Linked DNA regions of Drosophila melanogaster. The protein of the gene in region 3 interacts with the protein of the main gene of each other region in a pairwise test. Each region holds a gene or a part of one and is shown on either strand. Other genes may lie near its edges.

Region 1 (4,837 bases), on a different chromosome or scaffold from region 3:
AAAAGGCTATTCCTGCGCCAAAACTGGCCGCAACAATGCCATAGCCTTTTGAACGATTCTCCACAGTAGTTGTGTCTGCCACATAGGCCAATGAAGAGGAGTAAGTGCTGCCACAGATGGAGCTCACAGTGAGAATGGCGAAAAACCACCAACTCTTCAACATCATGAATGGAATTGGAGCGTAGGTGGTTGCCACTGCCAGTAGCATCACTACTTTCCGGCCATGAAAATCGGAAATGGCACCCATCACGGGCGTGGTCACAAATCCCAGGATTCCTCTAACTCCATAAACCAGTCCATCGACGAGAAGGACGCGATTCCCAAACGATCCCGACAATTTTTCGATGAAGGGAACGGTGAGAAGACCCCAGGAGAAGTAGTGCATAAACGTAACGATCACCGCGTGCCAAACACTTGCTTTTCCGATTCCAGAACGATTAACCAATACTTTCACCAGGGGTCTAAGAAACTTCAACTGCGCCATTTTTTAGTGTTCTGTCCGCGAACTGGCCAACGCCAGAATAGCCTGACAACTCCAGTTTAAATCCAATTTATACGCCTCAGTTTTATAGAAAATATAGTTATGGCTGCACTGTAAAAAACATGATACTCGAACTATACTACACTATTTTGTCGTTTAAAATATATATCGTTTAAACTAGAACTCCTCGCAGAAAGCAAAGAGATGTGTCAAAGAGATCGTAAGCAAAACGCAAATAAGAGAATTTAAAAGTTTGTTTTCAAAATAGCTGAAATTTTCACAAATATATTAACATTATTCATCCAAGCTATTAATAATAACAAACATTTCCCTCTCTTGTTAGTGAGAATAGAACCATAAGGTTCCGATTTACAAGCCAACAAGTAAAGCCATCTACTTTTAGAACTTTTTAAAGGTAAGCCATTAAAAATTATTTAACATATTTTCGTGTCTTAAAATATGGGTTGAGTATGCATGCCTAAACTTTCTATATGACTGTGAATAAATAGTGACATTTTTGCAAATCACAATCACAACTTAGAAGTGCGGATATGAGAATATTGTAAGTATACATATGTATACCAAACCGAAAAAGCACGCTTTAGTCGAGTTCTTCGACTATCACATACCCATTACATGGCTAGCAATGGAAAAACAAAAACAAATTTGTGAAGAAATTAATTCAAAATTGTGGACATGAAAGCTTTTTGCAGTTTGTTGCCGATACCAGTGGACGTGACCAAAATGTTCTCGTTTTGAGAAGTTCGATTTTAAAATCTAGCCAAGATCTAATCATTCTCAGCATACTCAAATCGAGATCAAACCATTCTCAGATTGCAAATGATTTTGCTTTCATTTGTCTTCCTCTCTTTTTTCAGACTCTTCGACAATCTTACACCCAATACTTCTTCCGAAAAATAAAAAATATAAACGTTGAGATCATTTTCGTCTCGAAACCAAGAAGGTTTATTTATTCACTGAGTACGCTGAGCGCAACCGACCTCTATTTTTTTGTTCTCAATTTTTCCGAGTGCAGGAAATGCTTACCTCCCCGCCCGTTTCGTACTTTTTATCTAGCCGATAATACTCTTTTAGTCTACAAGAAAAGGGTATAAATATATAAATACAAATCTCGCACTATTTGTCTGTATTAAATTATAAATTATAAAAATGTTTGGATATATTTCATACATATCGTTCGAGGGATAGCTTTTTATTATTGACTCATTTTATCTAATGAGTCATATCCCTTTAGGTTTGCAATATATTTTTTTTAGCATGCATAGTGATAGGCTTTTAAAACTTTGTTGCTTAAATTGCGTTATTTATTAAAGTAATAATTTGTAAATTATTGTGGAAATAAAGCCCGCTTGTTGTTTTTTTAACTTAATATCTTTAGATTAGACTCACCGGCCATAAGTTCGCTGTTTTGCTGATCCTGCAGCATTGGGATCACCGGCTCGCCGCCAGGTGGCGCATCTGGCATATCATCGGCCGTATGATCGTGACCGTGGGCGGTGGGGGCGTGGCCCTGGGTGGGCGGTGGCTCGGCAAAGAGCATCTCGAAGCGCAGCCGGGTCTTGATTGGACAGACCCTCAGCTGCTGTTGCTGTTGCACTTGTTCGAGCGGGCCACCGATCTCCAGGTGACGATATAGAGCATAAATTTCGGTTTTATGCTCGAAATGGCTCCAAGTGCCGTTATGGGCGGCGTATTTACCGTTGGCGTGATGGCAGCCTGCTTCTCTGACGTCACAGCAGCCGGCTGATTCAACAGCGACAATTTCGCTTTCGACGGCACCAAACTGGCGTAAATAATCTAAAAATAAGACGAGGTTTTTTTTCCTCTGTACACGGGGAGGCTGATGCCGCTTCTTCTTCTTGTTATTTGCCCTTTGCTTCTGCTGAAGCTGCTGCTTCTTCTTGCTATGTTCCCTTTCCTCTTGCTTTTTCTTCTTATCCTCCTCGCCTGCTAGATTCTCCTTCTTCTTACTACTCTTATCCTTTACCCCTTGCTTGTGACAGAGCTCCTCCTCTTTCCGTTCCGCGTGCAGTTGTTGTTGTTGTTGCTGCTGCTGCTTGTTTGACCTTTTCTTTTGGCCAAACTTTCTGCCCCCGTCGACGTCACAGCTGATCGATTTGCTGCACTCGCTCGGCGATTTATCCGCCTCCTGGCTTTGCCTGCTTTTTCGATTTTCCCAATTCACATTCGTCGTCGGCCGTGGGAATTCTGCTATCATAATTTGTATGCCACTTATGCCATAATTATCACACTCACTCTCACTCACACGCACAAAAACGCGAAAAGAGAGGCGGGCGCGCGCTTGTGTTGTTGTTGATATATTCTTTTTTCACCGCTTAACCAAGCTGAAAAGTTGAAAATCTTTACACACACCAAAAACACACACACACACAGACTCAGAAAACTTGGGAAATCGAATTTTCCGTACTATGATTTTCCGGCCATAAATCTGCACGGGCGTAAGTTTCGGAGGAAACTGCTGCAGAAAAGCTCCTGGTCGCAAAGGAAGAAAAATCGGACGGGCGAAGCGTTGCCAGACGATGACAGCGATTTCATTTGTTTTGATTTAGTTGCCGGAGCGATGTCACCTCAATAAGATACCGAAAAATACCAAAGGTATTTCGAGCTGCCAATCTTTTTTCCGACATCAAACTTTTCTAGCCATTTGACTTTTTTTTCAAAAGTATTTATAAATTTTTTTATATTTAAATGCACGAAATAAATACATATATCAATGTCTATATAATATTTGGAAATATAAGTTTCCTTCGTTGTCATTGGGTCTTTCGACTTCTCTTTATTGACGCATCGCCTTAAACAATTCCAACTAAAAATTTCCAATCAACACAGACAGCTACTTCGCTCCGCTTAGGCAAACAGACGCAGTTCATCGCGCGCCTCGATGCACTTGGGCGGCGAGGGAGTCTCGAACTCGCCCAGCTCGGCGTCGTAGTAGAGGGCGGCGCGGTAGGGACGCAGCTCCCATGGCACCTGCTGCTCCATTGTGGTCAGCGTGACGCCCAAATCCTCAAGCGTGGGGACACCAGTCAGAACCTTGTCGGTGACAGCCTCGCGTTCGATGCGAGCGGGATGCAGACCGCCAATCGGGGTGCCGGGGCAGATGAAGCTGTTCAGCTTGGCTTTCAGCAGGAAGGTGGGGTCCCAGCGCATGTCGTAGCGCATGTAGCCCCAGCGCTTCTGGTCCTTGCGCATCAGGCGGTGGAACCAGTCGACCAGCTCGCTCAACTGATAGCGTTTAGGTCTGCAGAGAATAAAGGAAATTAAGAAAATGTACATGGTACAAATACTTGGACTCGGAGATTGACTTACCCCACAGCCTGGTAGATGCGGCCAGCGCTGTCCGGATCCTTGGCGGCGTTGATGATGGCCTGGGCCACGTCCGAAACGTAGACGGGCTGCTTGACGGTCTTCTCTCCCTTGTGCCACAGCGGCATCGAGCGGAACTGACGGCGCCAGATGTGGGCGTAGTAGCGCAAGAAGCGATCCTCGGATCCGTAGATATCCGCAGGGCGGATGATCGTGGCGTTGGGAAAGGCGTCGCGTACGCGAAGCTCACCCTCGTACTTGCTTTTCAGCCACTCGCTGCCGCCCTTGACGTACAGATCCTTGGGATTGGCCTCCACGTTCAAAGAGGACAGGTGGATTAAGCGCTCCACGCCAGCCTCGCGCGCAATCCTGAAGAAATAAAAGTGGTTTACGTCATGCAAAGTTAGAATGAAGAAGTGGGCAGGCAAATAATGCTGGCTATGATGTTCACCTAGCGATCCTCTCCGCTCCGTTGACATGGACATCCTTGAACTTGAAGTTCTTGGTCTCGAAGTCCCTGCCCACCAGGTTGATGACCACGTTCGAGTGCTTGACTGCGTCACGAATGGAGGCGGGATCCTCCAGGTTGTAGAAGTGAAAGAGTACCTGGCCAAGATCACCGGTGACCTTAAGACGGATAACATCCGAATCGTCACCGCGATAGGGCAGGATCATCTGGGTGCCAGATTTGCCCAGTTTGTTGCAGACATAGCGGCCCACGAAACCGGTGGCACCGAAAACGGTCGCCACGATCCCATTGAAACTGCTACGTCCGCCAGTTCCGCGCTTCATGGCAGCCGGATTGGTGGTCTTCAGTGGACGTGGACCATCTTCCGGCGGCGCAGCAGCGGCGGAATATCCACGCAGGCACAAAACTCCAACCACGCCACTGCCGTGGTGCTCTAAGTATCCGGAATTGGACAGAGAATGAGCCAAAAGTTAGCCACAAACATCGTATTACATAATTGGATTGCCTGGCGGTTTTCGACCGCAGGCACGGTACTCACT
Region 2 (2,924 bases), 8.7 Mb from region 3:
ACTGCAATCAAATTTTCGTCATTTTGATCGGAATGCTGTTTAAGCCACTTTTTTTTGCTGATGCCATCTAATTCCATATAATTGGCCAAAATCCATTAACATTCACTTTATCACCGAATGCAGGCCAAAATGGGCGAATAAAAACAGGGATGAGACGATTGTGGGTATTTTTAGACAAGTAAATGGATTAATTGGAATTGAATTGCATGGCTTAAAAATAACACAATTTTAAGCGAATTTTTTTTATAAACTGACATCCAATGGATGCATATCAAAAGAAACTCAAAATAAAAAGAAGACCGAAAGATAAATTGGGAACTGTGAAATAAACCAAATATCGTCACAATAAATAAACGTATATGTTTCCTTAATAGGAGACAAAGTTGCTATAGCCATGAGTCACTTAAGAAATTAATTATCTTGATGTTATGTATAAACACAAAGTCAAATTTGGATCACCGTAAATGTTTTGTTTATATAATAAATTGTATGTGTTTGTACTAAAGAATATAACTAAAATCAACAATACCAATCTCTTTCACATAAGCAGACTTTTATTTCACGCAAATTTTCCGTCATCCAAGTAAACCACATTTCATTGCTGATCCAAGAGAATACGCTTGAGTTCCTCGATCCGATCCGGCGTGGGCTCAAAGAACGAGCTGTCCACCTCGACTTCCTGGTGATTGTAAATGCGACGCGGCTGGGGGCGGTTGGCATGGTAGGTGGTCAGGGCAGCGGCATGATCCGTCGCCTCCACGTTTCCGCAAGCCTGAGAGGGATGCCCTGGGTAGACACGTGGCTTTAGCCGGAGCTTCCTGGGGGGAGAGATCACCTGGAGTTCCTGAAGTTGCTCACCCGATGGCTGGTCATAAAGGTAGCCATCATCGGGGCCGGCCCAAACCAAGCTCAGTGCCACTCCGAGCATCATCACCTAGCAGAGTTAAGCGTTTGATGTCATCAGTGGGAAAACGAGTTATGTAGTATTCCGATTTTCGATCTGTGACTATTACCACAAAAGTTAGCAGCGAAATCGTCTTCATGGTTCTCCGTTTCCGATTCTTAATATGTCTCGTCGCTTCGGGCGCACAAAACTGACTGGCTCGAAGAAGCTCTTTCCATTCTGCTAATTTTTGGTATTCCCCTGCCCTATTAGAACCTATTATGCAATTATGTTAACGCTTATGACATAATCAAATCACTAAGAGAGAGAAAAAGGCGACAATATTAACATAAGCAATAACGTAGAATTGTTTGATAATTTTAATAAATTTTAAACCGCTGCTTCTGATTATGATACAGTATAATATATGGAGATGGTGGCCCGTTCTATGTTTCTGCTGTACCATATGCTGTTAAAACTGTAATCCCCAGGTGGGAGTGGAAGGATGTTGGTAAAGTGCTCACTCAGATATTTGGAGGGAAGTCTGTCTATGATAAGGTCGTGCTGTAAAAATGTTATTGTATAACATCTAGAAATAATCATTTGAAAAGTTCTCATTAACCCACATCATAGGGACATTTATGGTTGGTATTTGTGTATTTTTTGGTGATCTCCTCGAAAAGTCTGAGCATCGGATTGGCCAAGTTCTTCTTGTAAGCCATATATTTGCAAACATCTATGCTGGCGGCTATGGTTATGGGCATATAGGACCGAAATCTTCTCGAAATTTGAAGTTTTGCCTACATCAATATATACGCTTAGTGAGTGGGATTTTTAAGCCATTTTTTTTTAATACATACCGATGCGTTTGTAATAGGTACTTCGTACATGTTGGCCTTGAGTGATATGTACTTATAGGTTCGATTTACGGATTTTATGAAACAGTACTCGAAGCTCAAATAAGTCGGGTCCTTCACATGACACTTAAAATTCGTAAACTCCAACTTGGAGGCATTCTGGGGTTAAAAACAAATGACTGCATCTTTATAATGTAAGATGCTTAATTTTATTGTATCCTTACTTCCATTATATTTCCAAAAAATATAACTAGCACAAACAATTTTGCTGCCTTGGAGTACATTTGTGTAACTGAACAAGCCAACGATGACTAAAGTCATACAATTTTCATAAACTAAATGTGGTTTGGTAATGAGAAATTGATTAATTACAAAGTGTTTTTATTGATCTGGAACCATTTAAATATTATCTATACATATAATAAGCTGCGTAATTAGCTATGTATATATGTCAATCAAATTTTAATTAGTATCAAAAATATTTTTGCGAACCCATAACTCCCTTTTCTTATCTATTTTAATAGTTTTTTTTTGGTCATACTATATTCCCAATTGCATTTACGACCAGACATTTGCATCTGTGGTTAGGTACATCGACCCCATTTCTCGCTGTGTAATCAATTTAGCTAATTAGCATTTCATGGCTCGACCATATGCAATCCCACAATAAAATATCACCATCACCAGCTGATTGAGCAACATGCAACAGGTTATGCGATTAACATATTTGCTGAATCGAATGGACTTGTATGCCTACTTTTGGGCTTGTTAAATTAATCACCCGAAACGGTAAGTATGCGTGATTTAAAATTTAAACAATGATCGATTTATTTACAACAAACAACAAACTGACAACTAAGCATATCAACTAATTCGATGTGAAATTCGGTGAGTAAGATTAGAGAGGACATTTAGTTGTAGGGGTATCTGGAGAGGACCTGCTCCTTGCGCTCGAAAGTGCGTCGATTCTTTGGTCGCAACTGACCCTGACTATTGACAGCAGCTCCCGCTGGCACATAGATCACCTGGCTCTTGTAGCAGCCCTCCACTCGAGGTTGGGTACTGGCTCGCACTGTCTGCAGAACCCGCTGGTGGCTCTCATCCACCTCGCCTGGATTGAACTCCTTCTGCTGGCAGGCTCCACCTCCCGGGCAGCTGGTGACGAACCTTTGGTACTCTCGGTT
Region 3 (4,983 bases):
GCTTTTTCGAAAGGGTTGAACTATCTTTCAAATAATTGATAACAATTCCGAGGTATGTTTGATATAATATGATATGTATGTCTTCATTCCCTGGCCTTCAAGTCTAAATATATAATTCCGCTGGATATGGATCTGCCCCACTGTCGCCCCATTTGGGTTGCATGGGCTGATGTGGTTGAGGCCTCCAGTGAAGCTTTCACCATGGGGAAGTGTTTGGTTAGGCTGCCCGAGATGACTTGTTGGGGCCATGTAAATTGACTCGTCGCAGCGCCGAATGTGGAACTATCGGACGGCTTGGGGGCTGGGAACCGGGGAGCTCTGGCTCTGGCTCTGCCCACCTGGCCGAGGGGTACTCCATGGGCGAGTGATAACACCTCGGGCCGGACACGCAGATAAGCAATGAAATATTTATAGCGTCGCCAAAGTCCTACCCGAAGTGGCGGCTCCTCCGACGCGCTCGCATTTCCTCCTCCTTAGTAGTAGGGCCCCATATCTAATCGAGCCAAGTAAATAGAGCAGGGCGCATAAGAAGGGGTTCCGCACATGGTGTATGTATTATTTAATAACAAACCCCGGCCCTCCCATGGCACACACACACATATGTGTATATACTACAATACATATATGAGTTTATATCGGGCTACAACGATCGTCTGACTATTCAAGTGGCTGCTCGGCACTTTGGTGTTGCTCTTAAGTAACAGTTTTCAAGTGATTCATGCGAAATTAATTTAAGCAAATCAAACAGCAATATAATATTGTGCGGTCTCCCCTTCGCCAAAATTGGATCATAAAAGTTGGCAGAAGGAAGTCACAAAACTTCAGATATGTTCAATATCAATCATCGGGCACTTAAAGATTGCAACTAACTAGTAAAATAATTAAGAGACACCGAGGTAAATATGCCAGTGCTTTGAATTATCACCTCATCCTAGCGAAATTCCAAGCGAAATGCAAAGCAATTTCGAATCAATTTCTCCTGTCAATAAGGGCAAACAGCGAAGCAATTAAACGTATCTCCCACACAACACTTACAGCAATTTTTACCATTTAAAAGATTTAATTTTTAAGGTGACAGGGATACGTGGTAATCTGGTGAAGTGAGCGGGACTTGGAGGCAAGCGATGTGCATTTAAGCGATTTTAAGTGGAAATAAACAAGGCTCATAAAGCGCAAGGTAAACAATTTGCAGAGAGTTGGGGGATAGTGAGTGCAGGAGGGCACCTAGCGGGTATGGTGGGTGCTATGGTGGTTGGGGGGTATGTTCCGAGGAGCCCCACCGTGGATAGATAAAGGAAAGGAAATGGCGCTCATATCCTTGTGCAAACACACACGTGCTCTTGACAGCGCTTTCTGCGCATTTCGCAACGAGGGGGCAACTGCGCCCAAGGATGTTTGTCCCTGGACAGCTGAAAATTAGCTCCACTCGACGGAGGCGGCGGCACTGAGGGAAATCAATACTGAATCTGGCTTTTCTTCGAGTTCATCCAAGGGTGAAACCCTTCTTGATTATGTGCACTTGCTCAAAACTTGTTCTATAAATTCGAGTTAAAATTGATGAGCATCAAACTAAGCAACTTATCACCACTCAAAACAAATCAAATTAATTACTAGACTTTTTATTCCAGTGCAATCCCAGCCAGTGATAAGCGCCGTTGAGTACAAAGCGACTGAAGGCGGCTGACAAACTCAGATAAGAATGGAGCCCTGCTCAAAGACCGGAGGTGGAAGCCCCGACATTTGCTAATTGCCGGTCAAACAGACAGACAGATAGAGCTACCGAGGATCTGGGATCTGGTGAATCTGGAATCCGAGGGATCAGAGAGATCAGCCGCTGCGGCCGCCCGTCTTTCCCACGACCTGCAGAACTACATGTACTCTGGAATACGGAACCAAGTGTCACCTCCCCGGTCCGCTTGAGTTGAGATCCGCTGGGGTTGCCCCCATCCCTCATCCCCCATCCCCCATCCACCATCCCCATCCCCATCCCCCCACCTTGTTAGCAGTTAGCGTCTTAATGCTAAAAACATATTTATTCGCTTTTTATGCCTGAATTGATTTGTCGTCGTCGTCTCGTCTTCATCTCGAACATTTAGTTCCAGTCCGCAAGTCGCATTTATTGAGGCCTGTATTTCGTATCTTTGTATCTGGTGGCTTGTTATTGCCTCTTCCTATTATTGCTGCCTTTTGGCCAATTTGTTGTTGCCGTCGTTTGTTGTTTGTCTAATATGTGTGAATGTGTAAATTCATTTATATTTACATAAATGCCGGCGAATTCCCAATCGTATTCCCTTCTTTCGCCCATATATTTTCCTTTCCCTTTGCGGTTCGCCAAGTTTGTTTATCCAGTTAAATAAAAGAAAACCCACGTATGTGCATATGAGCCTGGAAATTGTGTTAATCAGCGAACTCATCGAAGGTTGGTTAGTCATTCTCGGCTTAACGCCGGCTTCGGATCCACTGGAGGACTCGTTGTGCTCATCGGAATGCTACATATATATTCTGAATTTGGTTATCTGTATAACCATTTTATGCTGTTGGATTAACACATCCCTTAAATAGCCTTATTAACAACACCCTTTTAATTGTATCATGGCAGGCATATGAAAGGCATAAACCACAAGTCTGGCTTTTCAAAAGGACTTACTTGGCTGATGCCTGGACTAGATTCCAGTCGTAGCCCTCGAGGACCTTCATAACCGCAGTGGTGATGCGCTCGTCCTCCTTTCGACCACCCTGTCCTTGGGCCTTCTTCTGCTCGGCTTTCAGGGCATAGTTTGCCAAAACCAGCGTTTCCACCGGCTTAGCACGATCCTTCGAGCAATTGGAGCTGGAACTGTCACTCATTTTCGGCGGCACTTGTCTTAAATCTCCTCTTAAACTAAATCATCCGCTGTTCACAATCTAAATACTGGAGTCACTGAATCACGATTTGGAGCCCACGCAGATCTCGGGGAATTTTGAATGGGACTTTCGAGTAGTACGGATAGCAGAGACGCGACGAGGTTGACGGACTAACTGCGACTGATCTTGGGGATCGCTGGTCTGGTTCCCCAAGACGAGCTCGGCAATCGTCGGATTTCGAGGCGATCGTGGCGATAAGCTGAAGACGGTGGTTGGTTGGATCGTTTGCTGTGACTTGGGGGTGGTGGGGATTTTGGAGTGGGGCAGGGGCAGGGGCAGTGGCAGCGGAAGGGGGCAGCAGTACTCGGCGGGGGCGAACATAAAAATCGCGGCGGTACGCGTGTAAATATTAACATGTTCATGTGAAATTAGTTGGCCCCAGAGCGGAATCGAAAATGGGGGCGGGGGTGACGACTGTCGCCGAGAAACTAGTGGCAACATATAAACGTCAATGGTTCGACTTTTGAGTACCTAGTATTAGGAATTTATAATTAGGGAAAAATAAAAGTGATTGTATGTATATCTTGGATCCTATTAATACATAATTATAAAACTTAATAATCCAATGGGGTTTTGTAATAACTGCCACCAAATGTAGGACGAATACAACATACCCTCTATACCCAAAACTCCAGGATATCTTAAAGAGATGGCAAAGAGCTGGGACATAAATCGAAATGGAAACAGAAACAGAAATTAGTAACACTTTACAGCCACATGTGGATTTATGACACCTCAAAGACTTCGAGCCAAAGGGGTGGACTCTCGGGATCGTTAGAAACCTGCCACTTGTTGCAGCTGTATTTGGAGTCCCTTCGGGGAGGGGAGTGGGGCGCATAGGTCCTGAATGGGTAACGATTGGTAATGAGGAGTCGATAAGATCATTAGGGATTTAGGGGTTAACAGCGGTGAATGAAGATAATGCAAGGGAGTGGGGGTGGGAAGTGATCGATGGGTTCCCAGGGTGGACATAACTACAGTTAAGTGGGAGGACTATTTACCTGAAACTATTAATATGTCCTAATAGAAATTACAATGTTATGAAAAGTTCATAAGACTAGATTCCTACAAACTATGACCTACATACATCGCACTTTGTGTTTAAAATACTTACAGATACAAAAGACGAAGTTCATCCCCGGCTCACCCAGTGAAATGCAAATGCTGTACCCTTTCTCATCGATCAAACGTTTAGTAAGTCCAAATAAAAGTCGAGATCAGGTGATCTGGTAAGATCTTTTCATAACCACTTTGCACTAGATTTGCTCTATGCTCCACACGATCCAATCCGATTTGATGCGATCCGAAATCGTAAAATGCGAAGAAAACACCCTCGATGAAGAGAAATGAAATAATCGGGCAACGGAGAGCTATTCATTCCACGATCGTAAAATATCGAAGAAGTGTAGTTTGGTTACGCTTTTGTTTACCAGCTGGTTTCAACTGGAAGTTATGGTAGGACCCAAGTGGCTATCTGCAGCGCACGTATCTCAGCCGCCAAATAGTTTTGGGGGTTTTTACATCTTTATAATTTTTACAGCTCAATTAACTTTTTCAATTCAAACGCCGCCGGCCAGGCAGACAAATCGAAGTATCGAAATTAAACAATAAAACAGAGAAATGCATAAACGAAATCATAAATACCTAGGCCATTTCGGATGTTTTATGCCAAGTGGGGAGATGAAATCGAACCTGAAAACTGACGTCAAAGCAGCGCCCGTTTCTTTACTCTTTTTGGAAGTGTCATAAAAGGCATCAAAATGAAAATTATACGATACTCCATAAAAAAGAATGAAATACACAAACGCCCAGAACTTCGAAGGCAGTTCGCTGAACTGCAGCGACTGGAAAATTGATTCGCGTCTAGGAAATTTAATGGCCGACCATCTAACAATTTCCCCAGCCGCGTTCAAGCATTTTTTTTTTTTCTGGACCGGCAAACTTCAAAGCCCGCAACTTGTTGATAAACAACTCGCTGAAAAAAAAGCTAAAGAAAATATTATGAATTAATTAAAAATATTTGCGCTGTATAGGAAAAAAAATTAGCGCAGGCAAATTAATTTTTCCCCCACTTTTTAT

The links. The genes of interacting proteins can lie anywhere in the genome.
Region 1: the proteins of Sox100B (region 3) and CG32425 interact in a two-hybrid assay, tested with the Drosophila melanogaster proteins (one large-scale study listed by BioGRID).
Region 2: the proteins of Sox100B (region 3) and CG13862 interact in a two-hybrid assay, tested with the Drosophila melanogaster proteins (one large-scale study listed by BioGRID).

Annotation. Positions count from the first base shown.
Region 1 is NT_037436.4:20,495,519-20,500,355, reverse strand, and holds the start of CG32425 (uncharacterized protein), read right to left. Parts: upstream 3,034-4,837; 5' UTR 2,931-3,033; exon of another isoform or gene 2,721-2,930; coding exon of another isoform or gene 1,892-2,720; intron 521-1,891; exon of another isoform or gene 485-520; coding exon of another isoform or gene 1-484. Other genes in the region: CG18281 (uncharacterized protein), read right to left, coding at 1-484; ND-39 (NADH dehydrogenase (ubiquinone) 39 kDa subunit), read right to left, coding at 3,371-3,764, 3,833-4,198, 4,281-4,731, 4,837-4,837.
Region 2 is NT_033777.3:22,330,169-22,333,092, reverse strand, and holds CG13862 (uncharacterized protein), read right to left. Parts: upstream 1,103-2,924; 5' UTR 1,014-1,102; intron 935-1,013; 5' UTR 932-934; coding exon 596-931; 3' UTR 534-595; downstream 1-533. Other genes in the region: CG33721 (uncharacterized protein), read right to left, coding at 1,292-1,447, 1,510-1,683, 1,744-1,899, 1,965-2,024; CG7080 (uncharacterized protein), read right to left, coding at 2,652-2,924.
Region 3 is NT_033777.3:31,063,303-31,068,285, reverse strand, and holds the start of Sox100B (Sox100B), read right to left. Parts: upstream 3,034-4,983; 5' UTR 2,848-3,033; coding exon 2,648-2,847; intron 1-2,647.